Linked DNA regions of Tamandua tetradactyla. The protein of the gene in region 2 purifies or fractionates together with the protein of the main gene of each other region. This does not show direct contact. Links are inferred from orthologs where the notes say so. Each region holds a gene or a part of one and is shown on either strand. Other genes may lie near its edges.

Region 1 (8,338 bases), on a different chromosome or scaffold from region 2:
CTTCTTTATTATTATTATTAATTTCAACTGGAGATTCATTTTCAAGTTTCATATTATTTAGTTGATGAGATAAATTAACTCTCTTTCCTCTCTTCTTAAACTCTACATTTGAGAACATTTTCAAAGGTGTTTTGCAATCTTTGCCACTGTCAGCAGGCATCAGTTCAGATGACTTTATCTTACACTGTTTCACCGATTCTGTCTTCTCATGTGTTGGTGAGGTCTTTCTAAAATAATCCAGAATATTGTTGGATTTTGGTGGAGAGAAGACCCTATCTCCAGTCTTCCCTATGGGTGATAAATATTTTATAATTGTTTTGCAGGAAGATCTGTCCTCATCTTTCCTTCGCTTTTTACATGGCTATAGACATAAAAGAAGAAAAAGACACGTATTTCAAGCAAGTAATACAAAATACAAACTTTAAACATCGACCTAATATTTTAAGTAATTGAATAAAGAAATGAAGGCTCTTTAGTGACAAACTTGATAAATGGTAAGGAACACGAGATTTGAAGTTAAACCTATATTTAAATTCCAGTGCCCAATGAGTTGTACGCTTATAATTTATAAGTGTATTTTTCATTATATAAAATGTTCACACTAAAAAAAAAAATTCCAAGGTCACTGTATTTATGAGTAAATGTATCAATCTCTCACAGCTTCTGTTTACTCTATGAACCATGAATAGCATCACCAATTTTACAGAACTTAAAATGAATGTATTAGATAAAATATGTCAAGTCTGACACATGATAGGGACAATACAAATGTTTGTTCCATCCCTTTTTAACTTTTATCTAGGTAAGTTTTAGTTAAACACATTATCCTGGCTGTACTTAAAAAAAAAAAAAAAAAACAAGAACATGATGAACAAGCCCAGGATCCCACAATATTTACTAATCAAACAGAAAATATAGTAACATCACCAGAAGAACACTTACTACAAGTCTGTTATTTTAATTTGCTATTAAAACAACCACTATCTTCCTTCTACATTAGTGATTACACTCACAGCATAAAGATTACTATAATGTTAGACATGACTATCTTTTTTGTTGATCATAAGTTAGTAATCTATATATATATTTCTATATATTATAAACAAATTTTATTATGATAGAAAATAGATATCAACTTATTGGGTACAAAAAGTTCCATTGGTTTTTTCTTTAATTCTCTCTTCTCTGTTTGTTAGAATAAACTTATCAAAATAACAAGGAAATTCTTAAGAGGTAATGAATAGGAGAATTATACTTCTGGAAACTTAATTGTATTATACAGCTATCAAGATTAAAAGTGTAGTGCTGATACAGGCAGATATTTTAATGGAATGGGTTAAAAAACTCAGAAACCGTATAATATATTTGCTATATATAAAATAAAGTAAATATTTAAGACCTTAATATATGATACTAATAGCAATCAAGTTAGTGGAAAAAGACACAGTTAATAGTATTGGGACAAATTTCTAACCTGAAACAAAATAAGATCAGACAAACTAAAACCGTATTTGTTACAATGAAATCATAAATACACTAGAAGAAAATACTGATGAGTATAGATACAATCCTGAGACAATATTAGAGGCACTATACTACAGCCTGTGGGGTCAGATCTACCAGCTGTCAGCTCTGACATCTACTGGGTGTGACCTTAATCAAATTAAACCTGCTGTTTTTAAAGAGTTTTTCCTTTCCTTCCCTTAAACTTCTTTATTTTGAAATAATTTCAAACTTATAGGACAGGTGCAAAAATAATACAAAACCAATAAGAGAACTCCAACATACCCCCACCCTTCAAGATACCCAGATCCACCATTATTAACACTGTACCAAATTAAACTTTTTAACCTTCTTCTCCTTTGTGGACTCCATCACAGGGTTGATATTAAGCAATATTAAGCAATAATATTTATAAAGCCCTTACCCTTACCATACAAAAGTAAGTGTCATTATAATTATACAAGCTCTCTAAGCAGGCTACCAAAAGCAGAAAACATAAGGAAAAGATTGATAAAACTGACCACACACAAATCAAAAACTGTGTAATTCAACTACCAAAAGACCATCACAAAACCTGAGACCAGCTGAGAACTGCCTTGATTTAGCTAATTAGTAGCTAGTATCAGCATAACTATTTTCAAGCATACAAAAGTCACTCAACTCCAAAAAATAATAATAATTAAATAAAAACAAAAAGAGGGGGAAAAAGGGCACCCAACTCCGAGAAAAAAGAAATGGTCGCGGTTAAAAGTGTATACATTTTAGGGCGGGCCACCGTGGCTCAGCAGGCAGTTCTTGCCAGCCAAGCCGGAGACCGGGGCTCGATTCCCGGTTACTACCCATGCAAAAAAAAAAAAAAAAAAAAAAAAAGCCTAAAAAAAAGTGCATACATCTCGGCTCACTTAGAGGACACCAGGACACATATTTCAGTTAGAATGCTAACCTGAGATGAAAAGACGTAAAAATATAGCAACTGTTTACCTTAAGATGCTAGCCCACTACTTAAGCGGCACTAGACTCTCTTTATAATGAATGCTTAGTGCACTTCACTAAAACTTGACAAAATCATGAAATGTCAGTATGCCACACTGAATTTCTAATTGTAGCATAAGAACTAGGGCCAGGAGAAACTGATTTTTTTATTAAGCACCTTGTTTAATTCCAGTACTGACACTAAGTGGCATTCCTAAAATAGACAGAAGGATAGGCTAGGTGAACTTTAAAATCCTTTTCATCGCTAAAGTCCTATGGCTCTATATCATGAAACCAGAACCTGTCTCTCGGCTACCCCATGACATGTCACAAGTCCAAAACATCATGTTCCACGAACATGTCAGGCTCTGGTAACTGGCCGAATCATCATTCTAAATCCAGATTTACCGTGACCCCCCAAACATCGCACAACCGCAATGTTTGTCAAGACAACTCTAAAAAGAGACACAGTCTAGGCACAAGATCATAACTTGGGGGTCTCACCATGTCCTTCCCTTCCGCCTCAGAGTTGCAAAGTCGGGATCACCTTCCACCCACCCAACCCCAACAGCCGGAGAAAGGAACTCGACAGACACTCGACCGCACCTCAATCTCGTAGTCCTTCACTGGAGGGGGAGCAGCCGCCGCCGCCATGGCAAGGACCCCTACCATGCTCCCTGCTTCCCAGTATCCCGGTTCCTAGGAGCATTCGCGAACCGGACTGGCCTGCCTGGAGGCCATGGGGGCGGCCTGCTCCAGGAGGAGAGCCGAGCTGGGTCTCCCGGTCCGTCTCGGATTTCCCTGCGCCCACCCGCCGAAGAGCGCGCGGAGCCCGGGCCGAGCTTGGCCGAGTCGAACGCGGGAAGAGGGGAAGAAAAGGCGCGGACGGCGAGACCCCTGGGGCGCGGCCAGTGAGCGCCGAGTGCCTCCTAGGCGGGCGCTCTAGGGTGAGTCTTCAAGGCTAGAAGGGTCCGGGCGGGGAAAGCTGACCGAACGCAGATCAGTCCTGAAAGGTTTAGCAGGAGTTCTAGTCAATTGGGTTTTCGCGCCGTCCGGCGCGCGGGGGGCGGAGCTTAGTGTTGCTTCCCGAGATCTGAACGGACGGTGAGCCAAAGGAGCCAAAATGCTTCTCTTGGCGAACTGGCCCGAAGCAGGATCTTAGTACCGAGGAATTTAATGTCAACCGGAATTTTAAAGATTCGAATTTCTCGTGACTTAAAGTCCAATTTCACATGTAAGGACTTGATTTGACTTGGATCACCTAGTCGGCGATAAAACTAAAACCCTAGACTCTTGACGCTCCAGGCCGGATCCTTTTTTAAAGTGGAAATTTTGTTAAAGAAGTAACAATTACTATATTCCTATCACCCAGTATATGTTAATTATTTGGCGTGAGTCATACCTCGAGATAAGCCCATTTGGGGTCCGAGATTTTGGCTTTACGTTTATACCCCGAATTTGGCTAAGAAGACTTGTTTTCCCTGTGGATTTCGTCCTCTGAGCAGTGTAGGAGTCCAAGCAGGATACCAGTGTTTTGCTGTTAGTAGTAATGATAACCTTGTTTTCATTTCCATTGTTTTTATGGATTTGTTTAGTCTTTTTTTCTTTTACGTGAAAGTTGCAATTACATAAACATAATGAATGTTTGTTGGAAAGCATAAGTTTTTAACTGACGGGTATGTAAAAACTGAATCAAGTGTGTAGGAGCCGACAGAGAGAAAGGACATAATCAAGTAATGATGGGAAGCCACCTGTTCCAGTGTTATGCAAAGTGTTTTTAACTACTGAAGTATTTGTGACCATCTTTTAGGGTCTTTGTTGCTGTCTTATCAGAAGTGGGAGGTAATTTGTGTGGTAAGAGCACATACAAATGTTTCCCTAATGAAATTAATGGTAATTACGTTTTCTTTGAAAATTAGCTCTGAATAAGATTTTTCAGGAGGAGAAACACTACTGCTTTAATGCTCTGTTCTGTTTCTTTAATGTTTTGCTTAATGTTAATGTTTTAAAAATAATGTTTAATGTTTAATGTACTGTTCTGTTCCCTTGTTATATATGTTTTATAACTCAGGGAGTATATGAACATTGTCCCAAAAAAGAACAAGAAAAATAAATGAGAAAATTACAGGAAAAAAACCTAAAAATTTCCTTTGACTTTTACCCCTGAACTTGATCTTCTCCCTTTCTCCCAGAGGTGGCCACTATTATTTATTTGGTGTGTACTGCTGCAATCTTTTTCATAGCTTTCCATACACATATGTATCCATAGGAAATCTTTACTTTTGTTTTTATGTACAAAAAAATTATAAATAAATGGTGTCACTGTAGATATCACTCATTTGCTTGTTTTTTTTACTCAACATTGTTTTCAAGAGCTGTTCATGATTCATGTAGACCTTGTGCTGGTTTGAACGGAAGTATGCCCCCTAGAAAAGCCATATTTTAATCAAAATCCCATTTCATAAAGGTAGAATAATCCCTATTTGGTACTGTATGTTTGAATCTGTAATCAGATCATCTCCCTGGATGATGTGATTTAGTCAAGAGTGTTTGTTAAACTGGATTAGGTGACAACATGTCTCCACCCATTTGGGTAGGTCTTGATTGGTTTGCTGGAGTCCTATAAAAGAGGAAACATTTTGGAGAATGGAGATTCAGAGAGAGCAGAGAATGCTGCAGCACCACAAAGCAGAGTCCACAAGCCAGCGACCTTTGGAGATGAAGAAGGACAACGCCTCCCGGGGAGCTTCAAGGGATACAGACTGTGCAACAGGACTAGATACAAAAATGCAAAAATGTACAGCACAATACTACCTAATTGTAATGTAATTATGTTAAAATACTGAATGAAGCTGCATCTGAGCTATAGTTTTTTTTTGTTTGTTTTTTTATATATATTTTTTGTATTTTTTATTTTTATTTTTTCTCTATATTATCATTTTATTTCTTTTTCTGTTGTCTTGCTATTTCTTTTTCTAAATCGATGCAAATGTACTAAGAAATGATGATCATACATCTATGTGATGATATTAAGAATTACTGATTGCATATGTAGAATGGAATGATTTCTAAATGTTGTTAGTTAATTTTTTTAATTAATAAATAAATGAATAAATAAATAAATAAATGAAAAAGAAACCCGAAGCCAGGAGAGAAAGCTAGCAGATGATGCCATGTTCACCATGTGCCCTTCCAGCCTAGAGAGAAGCCCTGACTGTGCTCACCATGTGCCCTTCCACTTGAGAGAGAAACCCTGAACTTCATCGGCCTTCTTGAACCAAGGTATCTTTTCCTGGATGCCTTAGATTGGACACTTCTATAGAGTTGTTTTAATTGGTACATTTTCTCGGCCTTAGAACTTAAACAAGCAACTTATTAAATACCCCTTTTTAAAAGCCATTCCGTTTCTGGTATATTGTATTCTGGCAGCTAGCAAACTAGAACAAATCTCATCTATTCCCTTTCATTCCTGAGTTTTCTATCCAACTATGCACCACGTTTTAATTATGTATTTCCTTAGAGATGGACATTTGGGTTGTCTCTAATTTTCTGTTACTCAAGCAGTGAGTGAATGAATATTTTTGTCTAGGTCCCCTAAACACACGTGTAATGTCTCCCTAGGATAAACATCTCAAAGTAAGTTATAGGTTATGTCTATAGGCTTTTTATCCTTCTTGAATGTTATGCATTTGTACTGCCTTGAGTTGTTATCATATGCACTGAGTTTGTTTCTAGATATGTAATTAGTATTTTACACAACCCTCATTTAGGAACTCATGGTATTTATCAATTTTAAATTAAATGGGTTCCATGTTTGTATAGCAACTTAGAGTTTACAGTTTGTTCGTGTCATTTAGAGTATCTTTCCTATTTTTTTCATAAACCCTACTTTAATTATTTTTCATTTTTAACAAAGTAATGCCTACACTTTGTTAAAAACATCAAAGAACATTTTAAAAAACATAAAAATATAGCTATTTCACAACCTGGGTCTCTTTCCCATAGACAACCAATTTCAACACTTCACAATATAAATAACTTATTTTTTAATATATAATATGTTTGTACAGCTATTTCTTGATTTAACTACATTAAACATATTCATTAATTTCCTGTTGTGGTGACTGAGAATTAAATTCTCTTATACCACACCCTTCACACTTTCTCTCCTTCCCCCCTTCTATTATATTTATATGGCAATTTTTTACTAACTCAATCATCAATTTTGCATTTTGTGATGATGTAAATATTGTTTACAACTGATCCAAGTGATTTACTTTCGCCTCCAAGTTTTTTTCTTTTCCTGGAATTGATAAGTACCTCCTCTTTTTTTTTCTATTTTATTTTGTTTCTATATATCTATTACCTGCTGCCCAAGAGGAGAGTCAAAATAATCAATGAAAGGTAGGTCAAAATACCAAAGAATCAACAGATTCTGGCACTTAGGGCTAGAGGAGGGTCCAGAGGCCCCCTGCTTTGCCAGGCATTAATCCAATAGTTTTCTGGTCCTGGGGGTTGTGGGTCTGGGGAGTCTGCTGCCTCTTCACAGGGGCCTCCCAACTGTCAATATGAGGTGATCTTTCTCTGGGACCATTCAGTTTATCCTCCAGTTTCAAGAACTGTGGAAGAGTTGTATATCTTGCAGTTGGGTAGGGGCTATTTGAAGAGGTCACCTAACTGCATGTTATAGAACTCTGGAACTGGAAGATGTCACTCTGATTTTAACTAATACCCTCCTTTTTCAATCCCATACCTCAGTGTCACCATCTGTGGTAGTCCATCATTCCATAAATAGCGTGGAGTTCCTACTATATGCCAGGCACTGTTTAGACACCGGGAAGCAGCATGAACAAAACAGATAAAAATCCCTAACCTCTTGCAGTTTACATTCTGATTGAAGGGACATATAATAAAATTGATAAATAAGTAAAATATATGGTAGGATAGGTAAGGGTAAATGCTGAGGAGAAAATAGAGCAGGAAGTGGGATAAGGAAATGAATGCCAGGGGAAAGATTGCAATTTTAGAAGGTAGTCAGGCTATGCTTCAAATTAGGCCCAAGACTTACCCCCAAAGAACCTCTTTTGTGGCTCAGACGTGGCCTATCTCTCTCTCAGACAACACGGCAAGTAAACTCACCGCCCTCCCACTCTCTACGTGGGACATGATTCCCAGGGGTGTAAACCTCCCTGGCAATGAGGGACAGAAATCCTAGAATGATCTGGGACTCAACATCAAGGGGTTGAGAAAGTCCTCTTGACCGAAAAGAGGAAGAGAGAAATGAGATAAAATAAAGTGTCAGTGGCTGAAAGATTTCAGAGTCGAGAGGTTATCCTGGAGGTTATTCTTACACATTATATAGATATCCCCTTTTTAGATTAAAGTGTATTAGGCTAGGGGGAAGTGCCTGAAGCTGTAGAGCTGTGTTCCAGTAGCCATGTTTCTTTAAGATGATAGTATAATGATAATAGCTTTTGCAATGTGACTGTGTGATTGTGAATACCTTGTGTCTGATGCTTCTTTTATCTACGGTATGGACAGATGTGTAAAACATGTGGATTAAAAATATATAAATATTAGAGGGAACAAATGTTAAAATTAAAAAATATATATATTGGATAGGTGGCCAATGAGAGGGAGGGGTTAGGGGTATGGTATGTATGAGTTTTTTCTTTTTTCTTTTTATTTCTTTTTCTGGAGTTGATGCAAATGTCCTAAAAAATGATCATGGTGATGAGTATACAACTATGTGATGTTATTGTGAGCTATTGATTGTATACCATGTATGTAATGTTTGTATGTTAAGAATGTATGTGAAAAAAAAAGAATGTATGTGCTTCTACGTTGTATCAATAAAAATTAA
Region 2 (8,804 bases):
GTAATAGAAAGAAAAACTGTAATTGGAAGTTGGTGGAAATCCCATTTGTATTTATGGTACATAAATAATTTTTCAATTCTCATCTGCTTTGTTCCCATATGTTATGCTTATAAAAATTAAGCAAAAGCCAATTGGGTAAACAAGTTAAATTCTTGCCTAGATAGTAATATATTTTGATAAGACCATAAACCCAAGCTGAAAAAGGGGCACTTTTTGTAAACCCAGGATAGCTAACTATAAAGTTCTTAATATCAATTTCTTCCACCACATAACTGTACAAAAAAAAAGGAAACCTATTCACTTCATTGAGGGCCCACAAAATTACAAGTTTTACCAATATGAAGCATGATAAAATTTATCATATCGTTTTCATCTCACATCACTAATTAATGATTTTAAGAGAAACAAGAACAAACATGTACACCCCCAATCCTAAAATGAGGACCTGTACTCAGTTATCCCACCAAAAGCTCTTCTTAGATCTATACTTTTCCAATAAATCAGGTCAATGCCAGGCAGAAACGTGAGATATTTTATAAGGAAACCAGAGTATTGTATAAACCAGGGTTCATATACAAATGCCTGAAGGGGTCTGGCAGATAATAAGAATGAAGGCAGCAGAGTGTAAGACTAAAGAAAATAATGGGGTCTATGGCAAATTGATGAACACCTCTTTTCCAAGATTAAAAGCACCTCTTAGGTCAATCCAATTTCTATTATATGAGACCTTGTACCCAGTGTAGCCTAACCTCCTGAGAAACTGATAATCCAGATTTTTATGTGAAAGGTCCTGGCCTTTTTTTTGAAGCACTATTGGAGCCAAACAAGACCAGTGAGGGCCCTATTTAGCCTATATGCCATCTGAAAACCCTTGGTAAATACAGAGGCCCATCTGAAAACCCTTGGTAAATATGAGGCCAAACTCAGAGGTTACAATTACCTTTTTTATAATATCACCTAGTTGACCGATAATTTAGGTGTCACATCAAGTGCTGTTTTTGTCAAAAACATAAACAAAACCCCAACAAGTATCATCTATTAGTAATGGAAAGGGGAATAGATTATTTGGATTTACCTGACCAAGAGCTTTAGGAAGCTTTATAGATACTGTCTTTTCATTGTAGTTTACCAGGCTCTAAAACTGTACTTAATGTAGAGAAACCTTAGTTCATAATTAAAATAAGGGAATTAAACTGGATCATTCTAAGGTATCTTTCAGTTCAAAGGTTCTATGACTTACATATTTGGAAGAATTTCAAGGACAACATCTAAGAAAAGCAAAACATTCCTGTCTTAAGTAAAATGAGTTATTAAAAAAACCCACAAATGTTCTTACTATTTTTCCACCCACGGAACAGGTTTGGCTTTCTTGTTTTCTCCACTGCTTCCTGCAGTGGCAGGTACTCCTCGATCCTTGCTCAGTGTTGGTTTAGTACTGATGGATGCACCTTTTAGAAATGCCTGCATGGTTACTCCACCTTGACAGATCCAAGACAGAAAAGTAGAAGCTATTTGAAACCATCATGAGGAAGTACAGTCTGAAAGCACATTTAACCTTGTGCAAAGGCATCCAATAATTACTTACTAAATGAAGGACATCACCCCAAGACCTAGGGCTCTCTGGATGTACAGTTTATATAGCACTGGTTATAGAGACAAAAGAAGCCAAAGTCCTGACAGAACTTACAATATCTTTATAGTAAGGGAGTTACAGAAAAAAGATACATCTTAGAACAGAAAACTGAACACCATTTTTTTTAAGTGTTCCAAATCCTTTGATAAATACAGTATCACTAGTGGCCAAACTGTACAGGGTCTATACAGTAACTTCCATTTCAGTTATGGGCCTGGCTTCAATTCAGACCCTGAGATGGGTTCAGTAATTAGGAGTCCTAGAACCACCGATGAGAACCTTCACTCCTTTTCTTGGGCTCAGATGTGTTTTACTGGCAGAGGTAATGACTACCTTAAGGCTCTTTTTTTTTTGCCAGGAAAGGGAAAATGAGGGATTCTGTTGTTAAAATGGGAAAAGCTCTGTGTTTTTTTAAATAAAATGTTCATTTTAAAAAACCAAAATATGCAGAAGAGCATGAGTTTTTTCAATTAAAAAAGGAGCAGGATCTTGACAGATAATTTACAGTATTACTGGCAATTCTGTATTATTCCTTGCTGTATCCTTCAGTACCTAGAAACGTGGCTGGTGCATGACAGACGTTCTATAATATTTATTTGGTGTATGAATTACCATATAAGAGACTCAAGCCCCCTTTCTGTAAAAGGAGCTAAGGCCTATTTCAAAGGCAACTGAGTTAAATAAAACATATGTGTGCAAATACATGATTCTGTGCTTGGCATATGGTATATAATCAATAAAATATATTAATATCTGTAAAGAGTCAAGTTTTTAACGTTATTATGTGTTACTCCATTCCTGCCACAAGCGCCTAAAGTGTAACAAACCCAATGCTGGGCTCTCAAAGATATTAATACTGAACGAGCGTTCCACGATGGGATACGTTCGGGGTTTGAGAAAGTGGTTGAGCTAGACTGGTTCAGCCCCTGCACGCGCCACAACGGAGATGAAAGACATTCCAGGGGCATCGCGGGCGTAGGAGTACAGGAAGGCGACGGGCCGCCCTCTCAATTTCTCTGGCCGGGTCACCTGTTAACCTGCGCTACCCGGTACAGCCTGGGCCCGTCAGCCACACGTCCTCAGTGAGAGGATGCCGCTGCCTCCTTCCCGGCGTTCCCGAGACATGGAGGCTGCGAAGCGGTCGCGAAGTTTTAACTCCGTCCCCCAATCTGAGAATAACAGGCCCCCGAGGCCCCAGGACACCAGACCGAGTGAAACTTACAGTTGCAGCGGTCACCGCAGGCGCCTCAGTTCCCGCCACCAAACGGCAGGCGAAGAGCTGGGCGGGCAGACGTGGGCACGTAGTGCGTCACTTCCTTTCCGAGGCGCACGGCCGAGGTTTCCTTCTCACGGGATCAGGTTACTCATACATAGTTTTATTTAAGCATATGAGGAGATATGTCAGCTTTTATGGACACACAGACTGGGGCAAAACATGATTAGAAAACGGTAAATAAACGTTCACCCTGTCCGGGCGGACTCCTCCTACTCGAGACTCCGGGGTAGGATGACTTCAGCACAACTGTCCGTGAGAGACTAAAGGCCGCGCGAGGAAACGGCCGGGTACTACTAGCCGGGCATGCGCAGTGAATGTGGGCGGGGAGAGATCCGCCGCAATTCAACTCCAAGGGCGGGAAAGCGAAGGGCGCGCGGGGCTCCGGAATCTGCGGCCGGTCCAAGAGGTCTTTCTTTTTAGGCGCAAGCTTGGAGTTCCTGTAACTCACCGTGAGCTGTCTGTCTGTTTCATTGGCACATTTTCGGTGACGCGACGGGGTTTGCATCTCCTTCACCCTGCAGGACGAGGTTGGGGAGGGTGGAGTCGATCTTTTGCCAGAAGAGGGCCTCCTGCCGTGTCCTGTCCTCTCCCTCCGGCTTCGTCGCAGAGCAAACCGTGTGTAATTTTAAGGGCAAGCCCCGAAACGTCCGAAGGAGATGCCTTTCCTGGCCTTTTTGAGGGCACAGGATTTATACCTCTGTTAGTGTTTGCCCGTTGCTGAGAGGCAGGACCCTGTCATTCAATTAGAAGGATTATCTTCTAAACCAGAGGCCGGCTCAGAATCTGGTGGTGCAGACACTCCATAAAATTAAGTGACTGATGATAACGTTTAACCCTACCAAATACATGCACTGTGGCCCCTGCGCAGGTGTCTGAGGCCACCCTTTTTATCTTCCCCACAACTTGACTTAGCTCTGAATTGTCCCTAAATCCTATTGAAATCTGACCCTTCTTAATTGCTACCTTCTCAGGCCTTTACCGATTGCCCTAACCCTTAAGGCTGACCCAGGTCTTCTACAAAGGAAATAATTTTAAGTTTTGTTTGGCTCATACCCAACATGAGACTTTTTATTAACTTTATCTGTGTGTTCATTTATCTTGCAATAAACGCTATGCTAGGAAACAAGTTGGAAGATATTCGTTTTACAGTCTAGAAAGATGACAGACAATGTAATGTGTGTTATGCTTGAGGAAGTAATGAGGCGCTTGAAAATACATCCTAGAACTAACCTAATCAAGGGATTAACAGAATTAGCTAAGGATGCATAATGCTACTTTGTAACTTCCACGGGGCCTGTGCACAATCTCTAGACACTATAAAAAGCAGGCAGGTTACCTATCTAGGCACTGGTCAAAAAGCTCCTTACTCTACACACTTAACGTTTGTACATTTTCTTGTATTAATTTATACCTCAGTGAAGTTAATAGAACAAAGATCTAGGAAGATAGATGGTATCATATTACTACTTAGAAAAGCACCACAATGTCCCAGGGTTAGATATTATAATCCCACTTTACATACAAGAAAACTGAGGCTAAAATGGATAAGTTTAATTTATGAAAGGCCAAGCAAATTTGCTAATTCTGGCTTAGTAAAGCCAGCATTCACATCCAGGATTGCCTAATTCCAGAGTCAGAGCTTGCCAATAAATAACTTGGTAGGGCCAGCACTGGCACAGAACTGCCTTCATGCTAAGTAGAAAAAAGAGACCTGATTGGTAGCCTGTTTGGCCAACCAGTTAAAAAAAGTGCCTCCTTCCAGGCATATTCAGCCACTTGAGGCGGTGAAAGACTTGGTGATAAGAGGTTTGGCTGGGCTTCAGCCTCTGCTGGCCCCATCAGCCAATCTTTCTGGTACACAACTGCAGGCAGCATCCTGACCCGGATAGTTCATTAATTTGCACACAAGCATTGTCTCTGTCACCAGAACAGGAAATGACAACATAAGTACAATTTTTGTGTATTGTGCATGGGTACTTATGTAATAAACCAGATAACTAATAATAACTTTAGTTTTTTAAGGAATATTCAGTCAATTATTGTTATTAAATGGAGATATATGAAATTTTTAATTTTAATTTAATTTTTTATTAGAGAAGTTGTAGTTTAGCAGAAAATACAGTGTACCCATATGCTCCCCTACATTGTCCCAAACACTTTTCCATATTATTATTCTTTGCATTAGTGTGGTACTTTAGTTAAAATTGATGAGCCAATATCATTATAATTAAGCTGTTAACAACAGTCCTTAGTTTACATTGGGATTCACTTTTTGTTTTGTATAGCCCTATGTTGTTTGTTTGTTTTTTTAATTTTTTATTCTAGTAACATATATATAAACTAAATTTCCCCCTTTAACCAAATTCAAATATATGATTCAGTGCTATTCCTTACGTTCACACTATATTGTGCTATAATCACCACCATCCCTTACCTAATAACCTATATTCTAGTTTCTGAACCTATATTGCTTATTCTAATTATTTCATATCAGTGAGATCCTACAATACTTGTCCTCTTGTTCCTGGCTTATTTTACTCAATATAATGCCTTCAGAGTTCATCCATGTTATCACATGTATCAGAACTTCAATCCCTTTTACAGCTGAATAATGTTCCATTTGATTATATATACCACATTTTGTTTATCCATTCGTTTGTTGATGGTCATGTGGATTGCGTCCATCTTTTAGCAATTATGGATAATGATGCTATGAACATTGGTATGCAAATATCTGTTCGAGTCCATGCTTTCAATGCTTTTGGGTATATACCTAGAAGTGGGATTGGTGGGTTATATGGTAATTTTTTTTTCAAATGGTAATTTTATACTTAACTTTCTAAGGAACTTCCAAACTGTCTTCCATAGCAGCAACATAATTTTACATTCCCGACAATAATGAATGAGTATTTATATTTCTCCATATCCCTCCCAACACTTTTTATATTGTTTATTTTAAAAGTAGCCATTCTAGTGTGTGTGAAATGGCATCTCATTTGTGGTTTTGATGAGCATTTTCATAATGGCTAATGATATTGAGCATCTTTTCATGTGCATATTGGCCATTGAAGAAATGTCTATTCAAGTCTTTTGTTCACATTTTAGTTGAGTTATCTTTTTGTTGTTGAGTTGTAGGATTTCTTTATATATTCTGGATATTAAAACCTTATGAAATACATGGTTTCCAAATATATTCTCCCATTTTGTAGATTGTCTGTTTAGTTTCATGATGAAGTTCTTTGATGCACAGAAGTTTTAAATTTTTAAAATTTATTTATTAAAAAAATTAACAAACCAAATAAAACATTAACATATATAATCAGTAATTCACAATATCATCACTTAGTAGCATATTCATCATTTCTTAGAACATTTGCATTAATTCAGAAAAAGAAATAAAACGAAAACAGAAAAGAAAAAGATTATACCTACCATGCCCCTTACCCCTCACTTTCATTGATCACTAGCATTTCAAACTAAATTTATTTTAGCATTTGTTCCCCCTATTATTTATTTTTATTCCATATGTTCTACTCCTTTGTTGACAAGGTAGATAAAAGGAGCATCAGACACAAGGTTTTCACAATCACACAGTCACATTGTGAAAGCTATATCATTATACAGTCATCCTCAAGAAACATGGCTACTGGAACACAGCTCTACATTTTCAGGCAGTTCCCTCCAGCCGCTCTACTACATCTTGAACAACAAGGTGATTTCTACTTAATACATAAGAATAACCTCCAGGATAACCTCTCGAATCTGTTTGGAATTTCTCAGCCATTGACACTTTGTCTCATTTCACTCTTCCCTCTTTTGGTCGAGAAGGTTTTCTCAATCCCTCGATGCTAAGTCTCAGCTCATTCTAGGGTTTTTCTTAATCCCTTGATGCCGAGTCTCAGCTCATTCTAGGATTTCTGTCCCACGTTGCCAGGAAGGTCCACACCCCTGGGAGTCATGTCCCACGTAGACAGGGGGAGGGTGGTGTGATTTCTTGTTGTGTTGACTGGAGAGAGAGGCCACATCTGAGCAACAAAAGAGGCTCTCTTGGGGGTGACTCTTAGGCCTAAATTTTAAGTAGACTTGACCTATCTTTTGTGGGGTTAAGTTTCATATGAACAAACCCCAAGACTGGGGTCTCAGCCTATAGCTTTGGATGTCCACACTGCTTGTGAGAATATCAAGAATTCAACTAGGGGGGGTTGAATTTTCCCCCATTCTCACCATTATCTGAAGGGGACTTTGCAAATACTTTTCCACTCACTGATCGAATCAAGTTTTAAATTTTGATAAAGCCCTATTTATCTATTTTTTCTTTGTTGTTTGTGCTTTTGGTGTAAAGTCTAAGAAATCATTACCTAACAGAAGGTCCTGAAAATGTTTCCTTGTTTTCTTCTAGGAGTTTTATCATTTTGGTACTTAGATTTAGGCCTTTAATCCGTTTTGAGTTAAGTTTTGTGTATGGTAGAGGCCAAGATCAACTTTCCTACTTTTGCATATGTATAACCAGTTTTCAAGGCACCATTTGCTGAAGATAGGATTGTTTCAGCCCTGCACAACCTGAGACTAAAGAACATGCCAGACAGAAGATTACCCATGAGGTTTAATTAGGACCCTATGGACAGGAGGAAGATCTTCCCCAGTGGTGGCTGGTTGGGAGATGTAAGTCTGTACTCTGCCCATATCCAAGAGAGGAAGAGAAAGGGTGAGAGGTGGGCCCAGGAAAAGGCTTATAAAGTTTTAACAGTCTCGTGGGATTTGGTTACCACATAGTTATAGTAGACTCTCCTGAGATTTGGTTATTAGAGGTGGGGTGCTTTACATTCTTTGATCTTTAACATCTGTCCCCAGTCATATAGGTGGCTAGGTGACTTGCTTTCAAAATAGGAGGGAAAAGGAGCAGCAGGGCCCAGGCTCTGAGTCCTTACAAATCCTTTCCTCATTGAGTGGGCTTGACATCTTGTTAAAAATCAACTTGCCATCTTTCAGATAACCGAGATGGTGGTATAAGATGCTCCAGGGTGCTGTCCCCCACAGAATCTTTGAACAACTAACAAAAACTGGCTAAGCTATCTTCCTTGAAAGTTCAGAAAATACCTAAAGGGTTGCAGTAACTGGGAAAGTGTGGAAACAAGAGAAAGCAGTTTGAAAAATGATAGGCAATGCTTGTGATGCCCTTGCTAGCCCATCTACCAGCCCTTCCTCACTATTGTGTGGATCCAGCCTGCACTCCTGTTGCGGGTCCTTGGCCCTGTTCACAGGGAGCAGAGGCGCCCCTAAATGCAAACTGGAGTGCATGTATGCCAGGGCCAATCTATCTGGTGGAAGCCTGAAAGACTGAACCAGGAAACTTTTCTCAGGCTTATTCCCAGAATTTGTGCTGAAGCAGCTTGCTGACAGCTAAAGCAGAGTAAGAAAGGATTAAGTAGAAGTGCCCTGGCTCAAAGAACTACCTGTCATACAATAGAACACCAAGAAAGTGTGAAAGTCTATTTCAAAGGGAATAGAGGGGGAAATAACATTCCTGTAAACAGAGGAATTCCTAAGGCTACCAGCAAGCATAAGCCCAGGAGAAGAAGCATGCTCTAGGCGAGCTCAGATAAGACAGAGGGGACCTGCAATTGGCATTCACCTCTGATAATCTTCCTGATAGGATGGCTAAGCTCTGAAGGAGACCCTCAGCCAAAACAGAGTCAATTTGTAAAGACTTCAGAAGTTGCTTCTTCTTTGATTTATTTGTTTTTGGTATCTCCTGGCACTCAAGGAAATCTCTGTCATATCACTAACTGGTTACAAATTTAAGGAACAGATAACCCAGGGACTAAGTCCAAGAGTTAATATTTTAAAATCTTAAAATTTTGTGTACAGTGTGTCACAAAAGATTATAAGACAAAG
Region 3 (7,858 bases), on a different chromosome or scaffold from region 2:
AGCAATTCTTCAAAAAGTTGAACAGTTACCATACGATCCAGCATTCCACTTGTGTGGACATATGAAAAGATATTTCCATACAAGAACTTATACACACAAGTGTTCACAGCAACATTATTTGTATAGCCAAAAGGTAGAAACAACCCAAATGTCCATCAACTGATGAATGGAAAAAGAAAATGTGGCAAAGACATAAAACGCAATATTATTCAACAATAAAAAGAAATGAAGAACTGGTACATGCTACCAGTGAATGTACACAGATGAACCTAGAAAACATTGTACTAAGTGAAAGAAGTCTGTCACAAATGACAACATAGCATATGATTTCATTTTCCATTTATATGACAGGTACAGAATAGACAAATCCCTAGATAGAAACAGAAGGTAGATTGGCAGTTGCCTAGAATTGGGAGTAGAAAGAGGGTGAGGGGAAATGGGAAGTGATTCCTAATGGTACATGGTTTCTTTTGGGTGTCATAAAGTTCTAAAATTGACTGTGGTGATGGCTGCAGAACCATGAATGTACTAAAAGCCAATGTACACTTTTTTTTTTTTTAACATGGGCTGGCATGGGGAATCGAACCCAGGTCTCCGATATGGCAAGCGAGAATTCTGCCACTGAGCCACCACCACACTCAATGTACACTTTAATCAGTGAATTGTATGGCATGTGAATTATATCACAAGACTTTTTTTTAAAAAAAAGATAATTTTCAGGTACTGACAAGGGCTAGGGAATAAAATAGGTAAATGTGGAAAAGGTGGCTGTGAAGAATATTTGCTTTAGCTAGAATAGGGCAAAGCCCCTCAGAGAAAATTACTGAAACCTGAATGATGAAAGGGCAAGTAATCAGAAAGCAAAAGCTCCGTTACAATAAAATCACACAATGGGGCAATGAGGCAGCTGATAACAATGTAGATGGACTTGACAACTCTTCAAAAAAGCTGTCCCAAAAGTCTCATGTGATTGTTTATATGGCTTCTTTTTTATTCTCTTTATTTTTAACTTCATTTAAATTTCCTGAGTAGATGGTTCAGAATCCAAAAGGGTAATAAATTTCCCTTCCACCCTGCCTCTCTGACACATATTTCCCATCTCTGGAAGTTCAAATGCTACCGGTTTCTTGTACATCATTCTGAGATATTTAATGCAACTACAAGCAAATATATATTTCACCCCTATTTTTGTATAAAATGGTAGGATACTTATTGCTCTGCACTTACTTTTTTCACTTAATTTATCTGGGCAATTATTTCATATCAAGGCATAAACAGTTTTCCCGTTTTTAATAGCTGCATAGTATTCCTTTGCAGGGATATAGTATTTTATTCCTTTATTGATAATTTTTAATTGGAAAATATATGAGAAAACGCAACTCACAGGGCAAGAGGTGTTAATCTTTCAGGTACTGATGAGCTTCACAAGATATGTGAATCTCCTAAAATGCTGTACCTGTGCCTATGTGCGTTTCTGTGGACAGAAAAGCTGCATGTCATTCACCACATTATCAAAGGAAACTGTCACCCAAAGGATAAGAAGCACTGTACTCTAATACAATTTGTACACAGGTTGAACAGAATTTTAGTCTAGGATTTTGCTAATTTTTAAACTAGAGACAGGAGGACTAAATTAAATACCAATAAAATCAAAAGTTCTTACCTACTGTATAGAACCTTTTCCCTCTAACAAACAGCAAACTAACCAATTTAACTCCAACTTCTTTTCTAACAAGGACTTTACATTTCAACTTGTACCATAAACAGGAGCACTAAAGAAACAGAAAAGAACCAAAATTAGAAGTACCTAAATGATCAAAAGTTGACTATACAAGGTGTCATTCACCCTAACAGACAACATCAGAGGCATCTATAATGCCTCTTATACTCTGTGACTCTCCATAGAGTACTTCCTGAGAAAAACAGATTGGGAGTTGTGTAGTTGTATAATGTAATGTCTACCACATGCTAGGCACCAGAATGGAAGCTTTACATATCTTGTTTAATCTTCAACACAATCAAATAGAGCAGCTATTATTTTCCCTTCTTTCACAGTTAAGAAAACAGAGGCTTAAATGGGATCTAATTTAAGCTACTTTCTGGGCAAGACCACAAAACTATTAAATAGCAGAACAAGACTAAAAGACTCTCTCCTTCAAGGCCCTAAATCTCATCAAATTTCCACAGTACCATTGCCTGATCGTGCCTGAACTTCAAAATCTAGTAATAATCATTTCCAGGAGGCAATATACTATAGTGGTCAGAAAATATACTAGATTCTAATTCTAATCATTTACTAGTTTTATGACAACTGTCTAAATTCTGACAGTCTCTTTTACCATCTGTAAAATGGGATTGCTGTGAGGTTTAAACGAAGAAAGGTTTGTAAAACAAACAGCTCACATATCGATATAAAGAAGACGCTTGGTATAGGGGGCCTATTACCATTATTATTTTATCTTCTTTGAGAAATAAAGAACTGCAAAGTTTTCCAATTTGTATAGAACTTTTTCCCCAGAAGGCTGGTACTCTGACAGAGAAGGTGAAGAACTACTGACAAAATTACATCTGAGTATTAAGTATCCTCTGAATTACTTGAACATCTTAAAGGATAATTCATATTTAAAATATTTCAAACGTTATACCTGTATCATCACGAATGCAAGTTTTGCTGACTGCATAATTGTTTCACTCTCAATTTATTTAAACGCTTTATACAAAATTATGCAGAATTATTTTTAAGATTTTTTAACGTCATAATAAGAGATGACAGCTGTCAAATGTATTACATCTGTTTCTACCCACTGTACCTTTTTCCTGTAAACTGTGTTATCGCTTTGACTGCTATGAACGCATCCAAACAAAATAAAACATCCTTCCCATACCCTCGGTCTCAAACCAGTTAAGGAAGGGATGAGCGCTTCGCATAGCTGTTAATGAAAAGTTGAAACCCTGACACAACTTATAGCAAAGGAAAGTTTCTTACATGCTTCTGCCTCGGGACCCAAAGCTTGGAATGAAAGCTTTAGGCAAGATTCAGACTGAAACTCGGGACAAGGCTGAACAGGAAAACTTCACCACCGCGCCCCCAAATCAACTTCATTATGCCCTTCCTTCCTCCCTTCCCCCAAGGGTGGAAAAAAACGAAACGCCTGCGCGGCACCAAAAGACCTGCGCACTGGTTTCCGCCGAAACCTAGAGCCCGCCGTCAAAAAAAAAAGTACTGCGACCAATGCCCAAGGTTTGCCCCTTCTCTGCCTTCGCTCCCCCTACGAAGAGCCACTTATCGCCGTCTTTTCCTACCATCCATGCAAGACATGCCCCGTCCACACCCAGACAGCAAAGTCTCCCAAGCCCCCGAGCTGCACAGCCTCCCCTAGGGGCTCACCATGGCTGCCCAAAGACTGAAGCGAGGGCGGGCAGCAGAAGAACCGGCCGTCTGCGCAACCCGTTACCGGGACCCAGGATCCATTCGCGCCAACAACTTCTCCCGCGGAGTAGAAGAAGGCCGAGGCGCGGCGCGTAGTGATGACGTCAGGAAGCGCGCAGCTTCCCTTCGGCTCCGAAGCGGGGCAGGAGGTGCGACGTGGGCCTGGGTGCCGCCCCTGAGGACGGCGGGCCGCTGTCCTGGCGGGGAGCTAGCCGCAGACGGTAATCCGCGCTCACGTTTGCGTCTTTGGGTTTTGGCGGGGGCGCTTAAATTGGGGTTGCAAGATTGGACTCTCCGGAAGACCAGGTGCCCAACGCCCCTCCCAGTTACACGTATAGACGTTGCACTCCCTATATTAGTTTTTACCATCACCGGCATTAATATATATTAGATATAAATTTCATATATTACATATAAATACCTAATCTGAAACAAAAGTTTCACCGAAACAGTATTTACACAAATCTTTTCTTTTAATCTTTGTCTCGACCACCCCGTCTGAAAATCACCGGGTTAAAGGGCAATCTTGAAGTTGTACAGTTCTAGAACAAAAAGGACTTTGGAAAAGTCATCTGTCGCCACAACCGACACCGACACCATTTTATAAATGAGAACTATAAGGTTCAAACAAATTAAAGGGTCCAGTTTGTTCCAAAGCTGCCTGACGTTCGGAATCTAGGCCTCCTAATCCCCAACCGTGCATATTAAGAATAGTGGTATTGTGAAGACAAGGCATAAACAAGGGCCATCTCACTAGAAGAGCAATGCTCTCCAAAGCTTAGGAGGAAAGGAATTTTCTATTTTTAGATAGGTAACTGAAGTGTAGAATAGAATGCAATATTTGCCTGCGATTCTAAGAGGAAGCATGAGACCATAAATAGTCTAATGGTGAGAGCACTACCTAGGCTTCCTCTTGGCGTTTCATATCCTTACCCCCCACCTACCCCCACCCCCTATTCAGTAATGCACTTTATGACCCTAAAATTTCTGCAGAGAAAGATAACAAAGCCAACTGGAATACGGTAGAGGCTAAGTATGAAGAGCTTGTATTTATTAATGACCACGGTGATATGTACCAACCATCCAGCTATGGATTATCCTACTTTAGCTCATTTAATCCCCACGGTGACACTAGCTATTCGTATTATTCCCAATCTACAAATGAGTAAACTGTTATTTATGAACAGAGTCTCATTATATGGGCCCCTCTCAAGCCAGTATGGTAAGGTCCCCAACCCACCGCTTGGGGACCATGAACAAGTTACTGTGCCTTGGTTTCCTCATCTGTAAAATGAGGGTAATAGTAGTAGTACCTTAAAGAGTTGTTATGGAACTGTTCCTGGCACATCAGTAATCATTTTTTTAAATGCCATCCATTATAATCATTATGATTACACAATACTAGGTATTTTCAACGGAGATTGTTCCAAAAATAAACTTATCTACCCCACGATTTTGCTCAGAGAAATGCTTAATGAGGGAGAAAGGGTTACACACGTTTATAAATCAATAAAAGTTATGACTTGCTCCCCAGAAAAGTGTACATACCAGTCACATCACACAAAATTTTGACTGTAATGTCAGGAGGCGTAAGTCAAATCATAGTGTTTATTGACCTGTGAAAAAAATAAGTAGATAAATAAACAAAACTAAAATGTTACAGATCAAGAGATCTCAAGGACCTAGGAATTTGTAATAAACTACCTGTAGAATAGAAGGGAACACTGAGAGAGTTCAAATAGAGTCCTAGAGGCTATTCTGGAAGCTACTCTTATGAAAGCTCCAGCTAGATAATGATACTTACCACAATTGGTAATTATCCAATCCAAATCATTCCCGGTAACCCTAAGAACACCTAGGGCTCTGTGCCAGTTTTAAAATATTATGTACCCCAGAAAAGCTATACTCTATTCCTGATTCAATCTGTGGAGGCAGTCATTTCCTCTAATACTAATTCTATACTGTATAGCAGAAACTTTTTTTTTAATTTGAATATATTTACTGATCAGCTTTTCTAAGAATATTTTTACTGACAAATCTTCACACACATCCATTCCATACATGGTGTACAATCAGTGGCTCGCAATATCATCACTTAGTTGTGTGTTCATCACCATAATCATTTTTAGAACATTTGCATCACTCTAGAAAAAGAAATAAAAAGAAAAAAGAAAAAACTCATACAATCCATACCCCTTACTCCTCCCTATCAGTGACCACTAATATTTCAATCTACCCAATTATTTTAGCCCCATATTCCCCCTATTATTTATTTTTTATCCATGTTTTTTTACTCATCTGTCCATATCCTGGATAAAAGGAGCATCAGACACAAGTTTTCACAATCACACAGTCCTATTATAAAAGTTATGTCATTACACAATAGTCTTCAAGAATCAAGGCTACTGGAATACAGTACAACAGGTTCAGTTACTTCCCTCTAGCCACTCCAATACACCATAAACTAAAAAGGGATATCTATATAGTGCATAAGAATAATCTCCAGGATAACCTCTTGACTCTGTTTGAAATTTCTCAGCCACTGAAACTTTATTTTGTCTCATTTCTCTCTTCCCCCTGTTGGTCAAGAAGGCTTTCTCAATCCCAGGATGCCGGGTCCCAGCTCATCCCCTGGTGTCAAGTCCCGTGTTGTCAGGGAGATTTACATCCCTGGGAGTCATGTCTCACCTAGTGCATTGGGGAAGGACAGTGAGTTCACCTGCCACATTGGTGTAGAGAGAGAAGCAACATCTGACCAACGAATGAGGTTCTCTGGGGGTGACTCTTAGGCATAATTATAAGTAGGCTTAGGTTCTCCTTTGCAGGAATAAGTTTCATGGGGTGAACCCCAAGATCAAGGGCTCAGCCTGTTGACTTGGTTGTCCCTACTGCTTGTGAGAATACAGGAATTTTCCAAATGGAGAAGTTTAATATTTTCCTCTTTCTCCCTAGTCTCCCGAGGGGACTTTGCAAATACCTTTTTATTCTCTCCCCAAATTACTCTGGGATATATCAGGACATCACACTAACTTGGACAAACCAACAAGATCTCACTCCTTATTCAAAATTCCATGTCCTTATACTGTTTAAATAAACTGACCATACAAAGTTAAACTAGGCAATGCACTACCCCAAATATAAATTTTACACAAATAAACATCCTTCTTTTGGTCTCATACAGAAGTTTAGTTTAAAATATAGACCATATCATCCTTTACCCTGTATTTTGATTTATCTTAGTCCTATCCAGATCAGTTTCATTCATGTCTCTACTTCTGGAAAGGAGTTTTAATTTTATTCTATAAAATATTCTAATTTTATTTTATAAATAGATCATTCTATACTTTGTATTAAGAAATGATTACTTTGTGTTTTATGGGAAAATATGACTTTTTTTTCATGGCTCCAAAGTCTTTGGGACTACTGAAACATTACAGTGCTGGTTTGAATCTGTTACATACCCCAGAAAAGCCAAATTCTTTTAGTCCAATTTTGTGGCACAGACCTATTTGATTAGGTTGTATCCATGGAGATATGAACCTGCCCATCCAAAATGGGTCTTAATTATCTTACTGGAGCCCTATATGAAGAGAATAAAAGGCAGAAAACAGAGAGAGAGCTCAGAGTTGACATAAAGAGCAGATTCCTAGACACAGATGTTTGAAGATGCAAAAGGAGGCTGCCCCAGGGAAAACCAGAAAGATCCACAGGAGCTGAGAGAGCTTTTTGAAACCAGAAGCTGTGAGAGAGGTCCAGCAGATGTAGCTATGTGCCTTCCCCTATGACAGAGAACCCAGATGCAGTTGGCCTTTCTGGAGTGAAGGTATCCTCTTGTTGATGCCTTAATTTTGACATTTTCATGGCCTTAGAACTGTAAATTTGTAACCTAATAAATCTGCTTTGTAAAAAGCCAATCATTTCTGGTATATTGCATTCTGACAGCTTTAGCAAACCAAAACAATTATAAAATATGATTTTTTAAACTTGTCTATTAAGTTTGTTTCTATATAACTCTGCATTTGGCTTTTAAACATTACTGTTTAGTTTGAATTTGCTCCAGGAAAAAGACCTAAGACTAGCCTCTGTGCAACTTCCCTCTCTACATGGCCTTTATTTGACAATAAAAATAAAATGATGATATGTCATAACTACTTCCATGCTTTAGCATGATATGAAAGACTGCAATAATCCATCTCCAGGAAATTAAGGATATGCAAAGAAAACAACAAACAGGCTGATGATTTTTAAACAGTTTTTCAGAGAGGCACAGAAAGTCATTTATTGATGACATAAAACATTAGTAACACCACTAGAAGTAAAAGCCTAAATTTGTGGAATTGTAACCCATGCCAAACTCTGAAATCTGTTCTACAACTAACTGTAGTACTGTGCTTTGAAAATTATTGCTTTTTTTTTAGTATGTTATTT

The links.
Region 1: the proteins of RFC4 (region 2) and ATAD5 purify together in Homo sapiens (affinity purification with mass spectrometry; 5 studies listed by BioGRID and IntAct, counting the BioPlex papers as one, with this or other methods). This does not show direct contact. The link is inferred for Tamandua tetradactyla from reciprocal best matches to the Homo sapiens genes RFC4 and ATAD5.
Region 3: the proteins of RFC4 (region 2) and RFC1 fractionate together in Homo sapiens (co-fractionation; 7 studies listed by BioGRID and IntAct, counting the BioPlex papers as one, with this or other methods). This does not show direct contact. The link is inferred for Tamandua tetradactyla from reciprocal best matches to the Homo sapiens genes RFC4 and RFC1.

What each region holds. Positions count from the first base shown.
Region 1 is NC_135332.1:50,842,922-50,851,259, reverse strand, and holds the start of ATAD5 (ATPase family AAA domain-containing protein 5), read right to left. Parts: upstream 3,532-8,338; 5' UTR 3,148-3,531; coding exon 3,082-3,147; intron 362-3,081; coding exon 1-361. UniProt on the Homo sapiens protein: Has an important role in DNA replication and in maintaining genome integrity during replication stress.
Region 2 is NC_135336.1:5,794,680-5,803,483, forward strand, and holds the start of RFC4 (replication factor C subunit 4), read right to left. Parts: upstream 3,196-8,804; 5' UTR 2,856-3,195; intron 1,479-2,855; 5' UTR 1,468-1,478; coding exon 1,337-1,467; intron 1-1,336. UniProt on the Homo sapiens protein: Subunit of the replication factor C (RFC) complex which acts during elongation of primed DNA templates by DNA polymerases delta and epsilon, and is necessary for ATP-dependent loading of proliferating cell nuclear antigen (PCNA) onto primed DNA.
Region 3 is NC_135345.1:41,121,669-41,129,526, forward strand, and holds the start of RFC1 (replication factor C subunit 1), read right to left. Parts: upstream 3,544-7,858; 5' UTR 3,392-3,543; coding exon 3,389-3,391; intron 1-3,388. UniProt on the Homo sapiens protein: Subunit of the replication factor C (RFC) complex which acts during elongation of primed DNA templates by DNA polymerases delta and epsilon, and is necessary for ATP-dependent loading of proliferating cell nuclear antigen (PCNA) onto primed DNA.